3 linked regions of the Rattus norvegicus genome follow. The protein of the gene in region 1 interacts with the protein of each later gene in a biochemical or structural test. Links are inferred from orthologs where the notes say so. Each region holds a gene or a part of one and is shown on either strand. Other genes may lie near its edges. The genes, in order: Angpt1, Tek and Tie1.

The links.
Region 2: the proteins of Angpt1 (region 1) and Tek form a complex in vitro, tested with the Homo sapiens proteins (6 studies listed by BioGRID and IntAct, with this or other methods). The link is inferred for Rattus norvegicus from reciprocal best matches to the Homo sapiens genes ANGPT1 and TEK.
Region 3: the proteins of Angpt1 (region 1) and Tie1 interact in a biophysical measurement, tested with the Homo sapiens proteins (2 studies listed by BioGRID and IntAct, with this or other methods). The link is inferred for Rattus norvegicus from reciprocal best matches to the Homo sapiens genes ANGPT1 and TIE1.

Annotation. Positions count from the first base shown.
Region 1 is NC_086025.1:75,462,696-75,466,347, reverse strand, and holds part of Angpt1 (angiopoietin-1 precursor), read left to right. Parts: intron 1-3,357; coding exon 3,358-3,524; intron 3,525-3,652. UniProt on the Homo sapiens protein: Binds and activates TEK/TIE2 receptor by inducing its dimerization and tyrosine phosphorylation.
Region 2 is NC_086023.1:114,788,758-114,792,409, reverse strand, and holds part of Tek (angiopoietin-1 receptor), read right to left. Parts: intron 751-3,652; coding exon 606-750; intron 344-605; coding exon 188-343; intron 1-187. UniProt on the Homo sapiens protein: Tyrosine-protein kinase that acts as a cell-surface receptor for ANGPT1, ANGPT2 and ANGPT4 and regulates angiogenesis, endothelial cell survival, proliferation, migration, adhesion and cell spreading, reorganization of the actin cytoskeleton, but also maintenance of vascular quiescence.
Region 3 is NC_086023.1:137,291,449-137,295,100, reverse strand, and holds part of Tie1 (tyrosine-protein kinase receptor Tie-1 precursor), read left to right. Parts: intron 1-169; coding exon 170-460; intron 461-876; coding exon 877-1,167; intron 1,168-1,452; coding exon 1,453-1,643; intron 1,644-3,652. UniProt on the Homo sapiens protein: Transmembrane tyrosine-protein kinase that may modulate TEK/TIE2 activity and contribute to the regulation of angiogenesis.

The sequences.
Region 1 (3,652 bases):
TTAACAGCTGCTCGTGTGTGAACACTCAAGAGACCTGGATAATTGTCACTCTTATAACACTGCACACTTAACCATTATTTTGTAGATGATGAAATTGAGTCTCTTAAGTGAAGCACAAAGTCCCACTGAAAATTATGTCAAAGGGAGTCTTCAACTGTAGCAGAGATAAAGGGCCTGGTTACTTAACCCAAGCCAAGCCGTTGTTCCCCACATCAGATACATGGTGGTGTCTGATAAACTACCCAACAGTTTACTAATGTGGGAACCCATTTCGTTTCCCCTTTTTGGCTTATCTGTCATCTTAATGATGAAACAGTTGTTTCTGCTTCACCACACTTGGCCATTAGACAGTTTTCTCCTCCACTACCTCTCCAAAAGCCATATTGCTTTATTGTAGTAAAACTTTCTGCCCATTTAGAAAGTTTTCTAGGTGAGGTGCATGAAATTAAAATATGGTTTCTAAATACAAACTACAGGGTTTTCACTTCAGTTGTTTCCTCCTGAAAGGAAGAAAAATCTACAAAGCCTACTATTAGCAAGTAATGCTTTACTTTTGGGGAGGTCCTTTAGAGCTCCAGGCTGAGAGCAGGAGCAGAGGCTTTCTATTTTGTAGGAATGGCTCTCATGTTTGTCCATGTTTTGAGGCTCACCCGGGATCGATGCTCTTTCCCCTGGGGAAGCTGGGGAGTTTTATCCACACAACACTTTCAACAGCATGGAAATATGCGACCTAAGACTTAGCACTTCATCATTCCTGCCCTCTCTGCTCACATTTAATATGATTGCTGACTCTTTGCTTCAATGCTTTACGGCAAAGGGACTTGGGGAGTGGCTGCAGGGACAGCTCTGGCTAGTCTGAACTAAAAACTTCAAGAGAAATCCCAGAGGTTCTCCTTGTCTTTCAAACAATTGCAACAGTTGAAGAGTGCTAACTCCGAGTTTCGGCTCTGTATAACTTGCTATTCCGTGCATGCCTTGAAGAAGGAAAACTTTGGGTTTCTTAGCATGTAGCGCTTGCTCCTGTGAGATGCTGTAAAATCTTTAGCACATCCTAAAAATTTACAGATCTTTCCTGCTACTGTGTAGCTTTCAGTGTCTTGGGAGTAGGGAAGCAAAAATGAGGATTAAAACCCTAGAACCCACATAAACAACTATATGTTGTGGCAAACACTTATAGTTCCAGTACTGGAGGACTGAGACAGGAGGCCAGACTTTCTATCCAATAATGAGCTCTGATTGAGTAAGAGATGCTGTCTCAAAAAGTAAGGTGGGAAGTGACAAAGGGAACATAATAAAGAAAGTCCACAAATGTCAATCTCTGGCCTCCACATGTGTGCAGACTTATACATTAATTCACACCAATGCATACACATACACACTCACAAATACACACACACACACACACACACATACACACACACACACAGAGGGAGTCACTGGAGTACTAAGTGTAATGAATTCTGTATTTTGCCCTAATAATTCTCAGGGGAGTATACATGCAGTAGCATCCAGACAATGTGCAATTAGTTAAAATAAAAATCTAGTCAAAATAGAGAACTTTGAAAATATCTATACTCATATTAAATTTAAATACAAAGCTGTATGTGCGTGTGCTTGTGCATGTACGTGTGTGTGTGTGTGTGTGTGTGTGTGTGTGTGTGTGTGTGTGTGTGTGTGCATGTACATATCTGTAGCAAACTCTAGGCACTCTAGGCATTTGCTCTAACTAACTACTAAGCTGAAACAAAATGGACTGTGATCTGTTAATGTTGCAATAACAAACCTGGCAGATAGGGATTTGACACCAACTCTATCCATCTTTGAGAAGTGATTCTACGGGCAGAAACAATGGAAAAGGTTAGAGGATTATTAGTAGTCACTGAGGAACAGCATATTTTCAAAAAGAAATGGGGAATATTGATTCTTTTCTTATGTTGCTTAATGGGGGAAAGTTAAGTAAACTTATGTTTAATGTTAAAATTGATTTTAACTTGGAAAAGAAATATTTTCCATATTTTATTACCTTTGAAACAGTCAGGACTGCTGTAATTATTATAGTACTTTCTTTGCACTTTTAAATACAGATTAAGTCTTCATTGTAAATGCCCCCAATTAACCATGGTCCATTTCTTTGTTAAACAACCATGTATAATATATATCCTGTGATTACAGGGCCTACTCTTTTAAATGCTTGTATGCATAAGCATGATTACGGAGTTTGTCCAGATGAGAATTTGTGTGAAAAGTTCTCAAGCCCAAGACTCCATCTGGAAGCTGATTCTTTTGTTTTTACCAGCTCTCAGTTATATGGCTGAGAAGCAGCCAAATGTCCCATTGCAATGACCAAGTTTAGATGTTCCTCCTCTGAGGTTCTATAACATTTGCTCCTTTTGCCTTTCTTCCTTTCCTGTAAATGTCAGTGTCCACTGCTCACTGTATGACACTTCTTCATTAGTATTTGAGAATTCTCAAAGGTAGTACCCTTTTCTATTGCTAAGCAGCTCAAACCTGCTTCAGTAAGACAAACGGATAGAAAAGGAGCTAATTTGATCAAGTGCTACCAAGAGTAGCTTTCTGAGTTACTGTCAGAGGCCCCAAATCTATATCAGTAATTTCTCAATTTCTTTCTGGACCATTATCTTCAGTGAGGCATCAGTTTGGGGAGGGTACATTTTTTTCTCCCCTCCGCCCCAAAGTTGACAGTACTTACTTGCATGATTGGAAAACAATAAGGCCCCAGGGGGCTTCAGGTACAATTATGTCAGTTCATGCACTCCCTAGCCCTTGCTCCTCAGCCTTCCGCCTCCAAACCCCAATCTTGGCCAATGAAACAATCTAAGTGATCATGTGGACTGTTTTCTAAGCTCCATTTTTAAAATTAATTAGGAACTCAGTAAGAGAATTGAATCACTTGAAAGAGCGTAGTATAAAAGCATAGGGTAATGAAAAAGGGAAGCTCAATAACGGGAACAGCGAGCACATTACTATTATAAGGGTTGGGATCCCGATATTCAAATTATAGATATTCAAATTATGGAAATATCCAAAGTATGCTTACAATGTCAACTAACGTTTTTAAAACTTTGTCAAAAGAAAACCTTGAATTGAGAATTGTTTTCTGATCAATCTTCCTAATTAGGTGAATTTAGCCCAAGAGTGTCACAACAAACAGGTTTTACTATGTCAAGAATTAGATGTAAACGTCAATGGAGAAAAACACAACAGAAGTGTACTAGAATAAGTAATTACAGTGTAAAAAGCAAGCAAAACTGTATTTGTTATTGTTATTTAAGGAACATGAAAAAGTTCCCTCTGGAGTAACTCTGGAGTAACGAGTGTGTCTCTATTCTTTCCCAGGGTTTTGGGAATCCCTCTGGTGAATATTGGCTTGGGAACGAGTTCATTTTTGCAATAACCAGTCAGAGGCAGTACATGCTGAGGATCGAGCTGATGGACTGGGAAGGGAACCGAGCCTACTCACAGTACGACAGATTCCACATAGGAAACGAGAAGCAGAACTACAGGTAAGTTCCATCCAGTCCTGGGCTCGGCAGTCTTTGGCCTTGCCATAATAGCATGAAATGAAAAGCCAGACGTGACGCAGATGATCCTCTTTACTGAATATTCAAGGTTTCTGTCTAGCCCTGTGATG
Region 2 (3,652 bases), on another chromosome or scaffold:
GTGCCAGAGTGCTCAGTGGTATTAAGCAAGTCATTCTTAGAACTTTCATGGCTTCTGCATGTGCCAAAATGTTCTTGTTCTTCTATTAGCATGGGCTGATATGGCTAGGCGATTTTGGTATATAGGGGACATCTTTTTTTTCCTGGTACTAAACCTCCAGTTGGTGCCTTTTGAATCCAAACCTTACCTTGAATGTATTTCCAAGCCTGATTGACAGGTTTATAGAAGAGCTTCTTGGATTTGATCGGTCCATCCCCAAAGTAAGGCTCAGAGCTGATGTTGATGATAGCAAAGTTGTGTCCAGTGTCAATAACATTTGGGGCATGCAGGGGCTCTGGAAGAACTAAATGCAATTTTAGCAGTCAGCATCATTCTTAAGGGTTAGGGGTGCGCTATTGCTTAATCTCATAGCTAACTCTTCAAGAGTTCCGATTCAATCCTGTCTCCCCACCACTATCCCTGCTTTGGAACGATTCCTTAAAAGAGCCCTCTTCCACAATCCTTCAGTGGGTTCTAATTACATGAAGGCTTAAAATGGGGCCATGACTCAGCAGGCTCCATCACTGCTTCAAGAAAATGCCCTTGCCCTAGTGCAAGAAACATACCTTTGACAGAAATGTTGAAAGGCTTTTCCACCATCCCAGCCACTGTGTTCACACTGCAGACCCAAACTCCTGAGTCAGGAGGTAAGATCCGGTTGACAGTGAATATGGCCACTGAGAAATGATCTGTATGGTTGAAGTCATTTGGCTAGAAGAGTCAGTCAAACACACACACACAAAGTTAGAATTTCTTGGGGTACTTACACACAAAGGCTCACGACACATACTCCAGCTCATTGTTTAGTAGGAAGTTTTCTACGAGAGACTGAGGAGCTGAGCACAATGCTAATATAATCACTGGCTTATTTCCAAAGCTATTGTAGCAGCCCTGAAAGTTTGTATTGGACTGGTGCCCTCCGAGATCCTGCTGTTGTATTTGTGTTTGAAAGTGTTGAATAAACACTTACCAGCAAGGAGTTTAGTTCTTTTAAAACTGCCCTGGGTAGCATTTTTTTTCCTTTTTTAATGTGGTAGGTTAGAAGGACAAAGTAGCTTCCTGCCTATTTGAGGGGCTGTTAGGAATGGTGCAAAGGGAAAAGATACGTGGATCTAAAGACACATATGTCTCTATTCCTTTTGTCCACGTCCTCAGATACTTAACATCACACGTCCAGTTCCCTTTGTGCAAATATGAGGCAGGCAATGCAAAAAAGTTATGGGTAGAAGACTAAGAGGACAGCTGAATTAGAAGTTCCAGCAATGGTCTCTTCACAGAACAATAAAGCCAAAGAGGGGGGTTGGGGATTTAGCTCAGTGGTAGAGCGCTTGCCTAGGAAGCGCAAGGCCCTGGGTTCGGTCCCCAGCTCTGAAAAAAAAAAAAAGAACCAAAAAAATAAAGCCAAAGAGCTATTCACTCGCCAAAATGCCTTCAGAGAGCTGAGGGAATCAAGTAAAAGGAACCTGAAAATGTTGACTTTTAGCATGGAAATAAGAAAAGGTATACTGTAGAAGGAAGAAAGTAAACTTACTTGGAGTTCCCCCATCTCCAAGCGACATAGTGTGGAAAGAGATGCTACCCTTCCGCTGAGGGGAGATGACCTCCAATTCTTAGACCTTATCTAGTATCGGGCAGGTCGCAGTGAAGCCCAGTGTCAGGCAGAGCCTCATAGCCTTGCCCCACTACACATGTTTGTACTCTGTAAGCTAAACTGTTGGATCTTTATTGGCTAGGAAGTGCCTCCATCACCGAGACCTTTGGGCCATAGCAAGGAGCAAGATTCCATCAACCAAGGAGCAGAGAAGGAAGCTGAACATGGGACCTTACCTGGAGTTCAGTGCCAAACAGTGAGTCTAAGCATAAGATCGACTCCAAACACCTATATCCTGAGACCAGTGCTCAAGAAAAGAGCCTCCAGGAACAGAATATCTAAAACTGAATACAAGGAGGAGGAACTGGAATAACCAAACTAGGACAACACTAAATTAGTAAGGAGCTAAACTGGGAGTTTCAATACATGAAACACTCTGAAAAGGCCAAACCTATAGGTTATAGGCATAGAACAAGAATTTCTGTCTAAAGGCATAGAGCATATAAAACATATATATGCACATATATAAAACATTATAAAAGAAAAATTCCCAGAGCTAGAAAAAGACATGCCAATCCAGATACAGGAGTCATTTAGGTACCACAAAGACCGACCATAAAAATCCTCATTGTCTAGTTATACTTAGGAACACTAAATACACGGGACAAAGTGTGTTGAAAGCAAAAGAGAAACATGTCCCATATAAAAACAGGCCTATTGGGATAACAGCGGATATTCAACTGAAACTTTAAAAGTACAGAGGACTTGAAGTATTTCAGGTCCCAAAAGACAACAACTACCAACCCAGAAAACTACACTGAACAAACCTATCTGTCCTCAAAGAAAATCCAAAGCATCTGACAATGAGAAATAGACTAACAGAATTTATAACCACTAAGTCAGGTTTATAGAAAATACTTGAATGAGTCCTGAATACCCAAGGAATCCTGCAGAGGAAACAAAGCTGCACATACACCCATGGGCAAGTGTAGTCCATGTCCACATGCAAGTGAGGGCTGGCACAAGACAAGGCAGGGCCTGTGATTGGGCAGTGAGAAAGGAAGGCGGGACAGAGTTTTTTGTAAGGTGGGAGAGAGGAAAAGAAAGGAAGAACAAATGTGGAGGCAGAGAAGAAGGACCTTAAATGGCCACGGGTAATTATGAATATTTATTTCTTAAGGGATGGATTTTTATAGGAATTTGTCTTATCTAGGTAGGCAGTTTATATCATTATCAATTGGTTGTGAGTTTTTTGTGTGGACGTTTTGTGTATTGAGAATTTAAGATCTAAATCTGAGTGCTAAATTACAAGCTTATTGAGTTTTGATTTCAACGGGTAACTGGGAGTTATGACCATAACCACAGGGGGCAGATGCTGGGAATATGAGCAGAGTCCAAAGTAAGAGAGCCATGAGATAGACAGTCTCTTTATGAAAGTGGCATGGCGGTGATCTGCCTTGGGAACTAGATGATAGAGTTTTAAGAGGGCGGCTGCTGTGGAGGTCAGAGAGTAGCTAGCCGTCAGCAGTGTGGGATGGAGACTGGGAGCTTAGCAGGTGAGACGCTTTGTTGACTGAGATGAAAAACACCCCACAGATGTCATATGGCCCACGGAAGACAGCATTAGCGCAGGATGGTAGAGATTCTTTTTTTAATATTTACTGCTACAGAGAAGACTTTAATCCACACTAAAATAATAGTCAACCAAGAGAGGAAAATTACCAAACATTACAAATTCAATGAAATGGCATGAATCAATACACACCTTTCAATATTAACTCGAATATTAATGATCTCAATTTCTTGTTCAAAAGGCATAGTCCTTTTTTTAGTAAATACTATTTTTTTAAAAAAAGTAGGAACCATTTCTTTCTTGCCTACAAGAAATCCACAAAAGACAAGATACTACCTTAATGATACACCTTAAAGTTCTAGAAAACGAAGCCAGACCCTAAGTCAGTAGATGCTAAGAAATCATTAAAATCAGAGGAGAAATCCACGAATAGAAACAAAGAACAACAA
Region 3 (3,652 bases), on another chromosome or scaffold:
CCTCAGGGTTTCCTGCCATTGCCCACTCAGAATACGACTTGGTCCACCTCCAAAGACCCCTGCCTTTCCCAGTGGAGTTTGTCCTAGCCTTGCCCAGTGGGAATTAATGGTCCACTTAGTCCCAAGCACCCATTGAGTGGTTCTGACTCCTTCTGACCTCTGGCCGCAGAGCCTTTGCTGCAGCCGTGGGTAGAGAGCTGGAACGTGGAGGGTCCTGACAGGCTACGGGTGAGCTGGTCTCTACCCTCGGTGCCACTGTCTGGGGATGGTTTCCTGCTGCGTCTGTGGGATGGGGCCCGGGGACAGGAGAGGCGGGAGAACATCTCATCCCCCCAGGCCCGCACTGCCCTCCTGACTGGACTCACGCCTGGCACGCACTACCAACTGGATGTGCGGCTGTATCACTGCACCCTCCTGGGCCCTGCCTCACCCTCTGCGCATGTGCACCTGCCCCTCAGCGGTAGGTCCACTGTGGGAATGATGGGTTAGGGATAAGGGGAGGTGGCAAGAGACTGGGTAGATGTGGAGAGAACCCAGGATGAATGGGAAAGATAGGAGATACCAGAGGACACACATCACTTAGAGCATGTGGATCAGGGGCACATGAGGAGATTACGACTCTTGTGAAGAACAGGGCTATGGGGGGTTGGGGAGCATAAGCTACTAAGAGGCCTAGGGAGGCAAGGTGACCAAGGGAAGAGGCAGCTTGGAGGTGAAGGTCATGTGGGGATGAAGATGAGTCCAGCCAGTGGGAAAGAGAGAGAAGGTAGCACAAGGCTCCCATGCTGGGATCCACGAAGCAAACTACATGCTAGAGTGACTGTGACTGACCTCACAGTTCATTCTATCCCTTCCTTCCCCTTCCCATCTCCCCAGGGCCTCCAGCTCCCCGCCACCTCCGTGCCCAGGCCCTCTCAGACTCTGAGATCCGTCTGATGTGGCAGCATCCTGAGGCTCCGCCTGGACCTATATCCAAGTACATTGTGGAGATTCAGGTGGCCGGGGGCTCAGGAGACCCTCAGTGGATGGATGTAGACAAACCCGAGGAGACGAGCACCACCGTCCGTGGTCTCAATGCCAGCACACGCTACCTCTTCCGTGTGCGGGCCAGTGTGCAGGGTCTCGGCGACTGGAGCAACACAGTGGAAGAGACCACGCTGGGTAATGGTGAGAGCATGGGGTCTGTGATCCCTAGGTCCCCCGGGACTGTGCTCTGCATGGGTCCCTCCACTTCACCCCCAAACCTGGAACTAAGGCATCACAAGACTTCTAGAGACATACAAGCCTGACTTTCCCACCTTGAATCCATTCCCCTGCTGAACTCGAGTCATCCTCGAGACCGCCCCATAGCGTGGACCAGGATGTCCAAACTCTCCCTCTGTGGGATCCCACGGTGGCCTCTGGGTTCCCTGACCCGCGCCATCACCACAATCTGTCCCTTCCTGTGTCTAGGGCTGCAGAGTGCGAGCCCAGTCCAAGAGAGCCGGGTGGCTGAAGACGGTCTGGATCAGCAGCTGGTCCTGGCTGTGGTAGGCTCCGTCTCTGCCACCTGCCTCACCATCCTGGCTGCCCTTTTAGCCCTGGTGTGTATCCGAAGAAGCTGCCTACATCGGAGACATACCTTCACCTACCAGTCAGGATCGGTCAGTGTCCCATACCCACTGGGTACACGGTCCCGTCTGTTGTGTGTGTTGGACCCACATACATGCGAGTACATACACGTATGCATGCACATGTCCATGCCAAAAATTTTAAGGTGCATCTAAGTGAGCCTTTAGGATACAAAATAGAACTTTCTTTCCTTTTTTAACTGAGCTCAGCTCTTGAGCCCATCCATATTAATGGTTGGATAATTAAGATTCTCAGTTAAAAAGAAGTCAGCTCTTCCATAGTTCACCAGGTCTCATTCAAGGCTTGGAGAACACCATTTGGAATTATCTTCTACACTTACCCATCCCCTGGGGGTCAGCTTGGATCATGTGGTGATATCCTGGAGCACTACTAGGGCCCATGCTGGCCTGTGTCATCACTGGCCCTCCCTTATGTGGAAGCCAGCCTTTATCTGTGTTCTGAATCTTACTGGCTGTGACTCTCATCCCAGCCTCCGATCTTTTGTTCTTTCTTTTTTGAGACAGGGTCTCTCTATATAGACCAGGCTGGTTATGAGCTCACAGAGATGGCCTGCCTCTGCCTCCTGAGTTCTGGGGTTAAAAGTGTGCGCCACCATGCCCAGCCCCAGACTATACTCCAGGGCCTCTCTGGGAAACTGTTCACCTGGGCTTAGCTGCTCCCCTCAAAGGGCAGCAGTGTGTGGCCACACTGTTCACATAATTACCTTTGACTTCTAAAGTATACAAGGCCTGCAGCCTCACCTGCGTTCCCACTGGAGAGAAGTTCACTCTACAAACTTTTCTGGGTTTTTAGTCCCTTATAGGCCATGCCTCTGGCCCTCAGGCCTGTACAGACATGGGATGGGGAAGTGGTGCTGACACCTCTTCAGAAACCCAGACTCGCCCTATCTTGTCGTGTTCACCTATCCCATGATTCCTGTCTTCTCCTAACTTCCTTCTCTTGTCACTTAGAATCAGGACTCTGGCCTTGGTCCATTCTGCTTGGCTCTTGCTATTTAAAGACACTTAAGAGACATTTGGAGCACCACCCAAAATGTCAGAAAGAAAAGAAGGAAAGAAACAACACTTCTCTCCCTCTCCCTCTCCCTCTCCCTCTCCCTCTCCCTCTCCCTCTCCCTCTCCCTCTCCCTTTCCCTCTCCCTCTCCTTTCCCTCTCCCTCTTCTTCTCCCTCTCCCTCTTCTTCTCCCTCTCCCTCTTCTTCTCCCTCTCCCTCTTCCTCTCCCTCTCCCTCTTCCTCTCCCTCTCCTTTCCCTTTCCTTCTCTCTCTCCCTCTCCTTTCCCTCTCCCTCTCCCTCTCCTTCTCCCTCTCCCTCTTCTTCTCCCCCTCTCTCTCTTGCACTAACTCTCTTGTTTTGAAAGTTCACTGATCAAGGCTGGCATCTGCTGTGTCTTTAAATATCCCATCCAGAGTCCAGAGATTCAACTGGCTTCTTTGTCTGAACTCTGTTGATCTCGCCTCTGAGGTCAGTGCGCACAGAAAGCCATCACCACCATGGGGGGCGGGGAGAGGGTAACACAGCCAGATGCTGAACCGAGGCAGGGAGGAAACGAGCATCTGTTCATTACCAATATCAATTTAGATGTTCCTGCACACAGCTATTCATGCTCATGCGCGTGCCGTGTAGTGGGGCAGAAAGAAGTACCTCCCATGTGTGTATGCATGTGTCCCCATGCTGGCACACCTTCAGCTCTCTTGTGTATGTGTATTTGAATAGATGCTACTGCATGTGATGCAGCCACAGAACATACATGTGTATTCTGTTGTATGCCTCAGCTGCACATGCTCAGAGTGAACCCATGTGATCTGTGTCCCCAACACTTACATGTCATGCTAGTCATCGGCTCACCTGGGGAGTCCACTGCATGGTCCGTCTGGACCTTGCTCTGGGTCCTCAAATTGCAACCCCTTACTCCGCTCAGCTGCTGCCTTTTCCTTCCATCGGCCCTGCCCAGGATGCCCCTGCTCAGTAGAGAGAGCTGGACAGTCCTCTTTGTTATGGTCCTTGAATCCTGGAGGAAC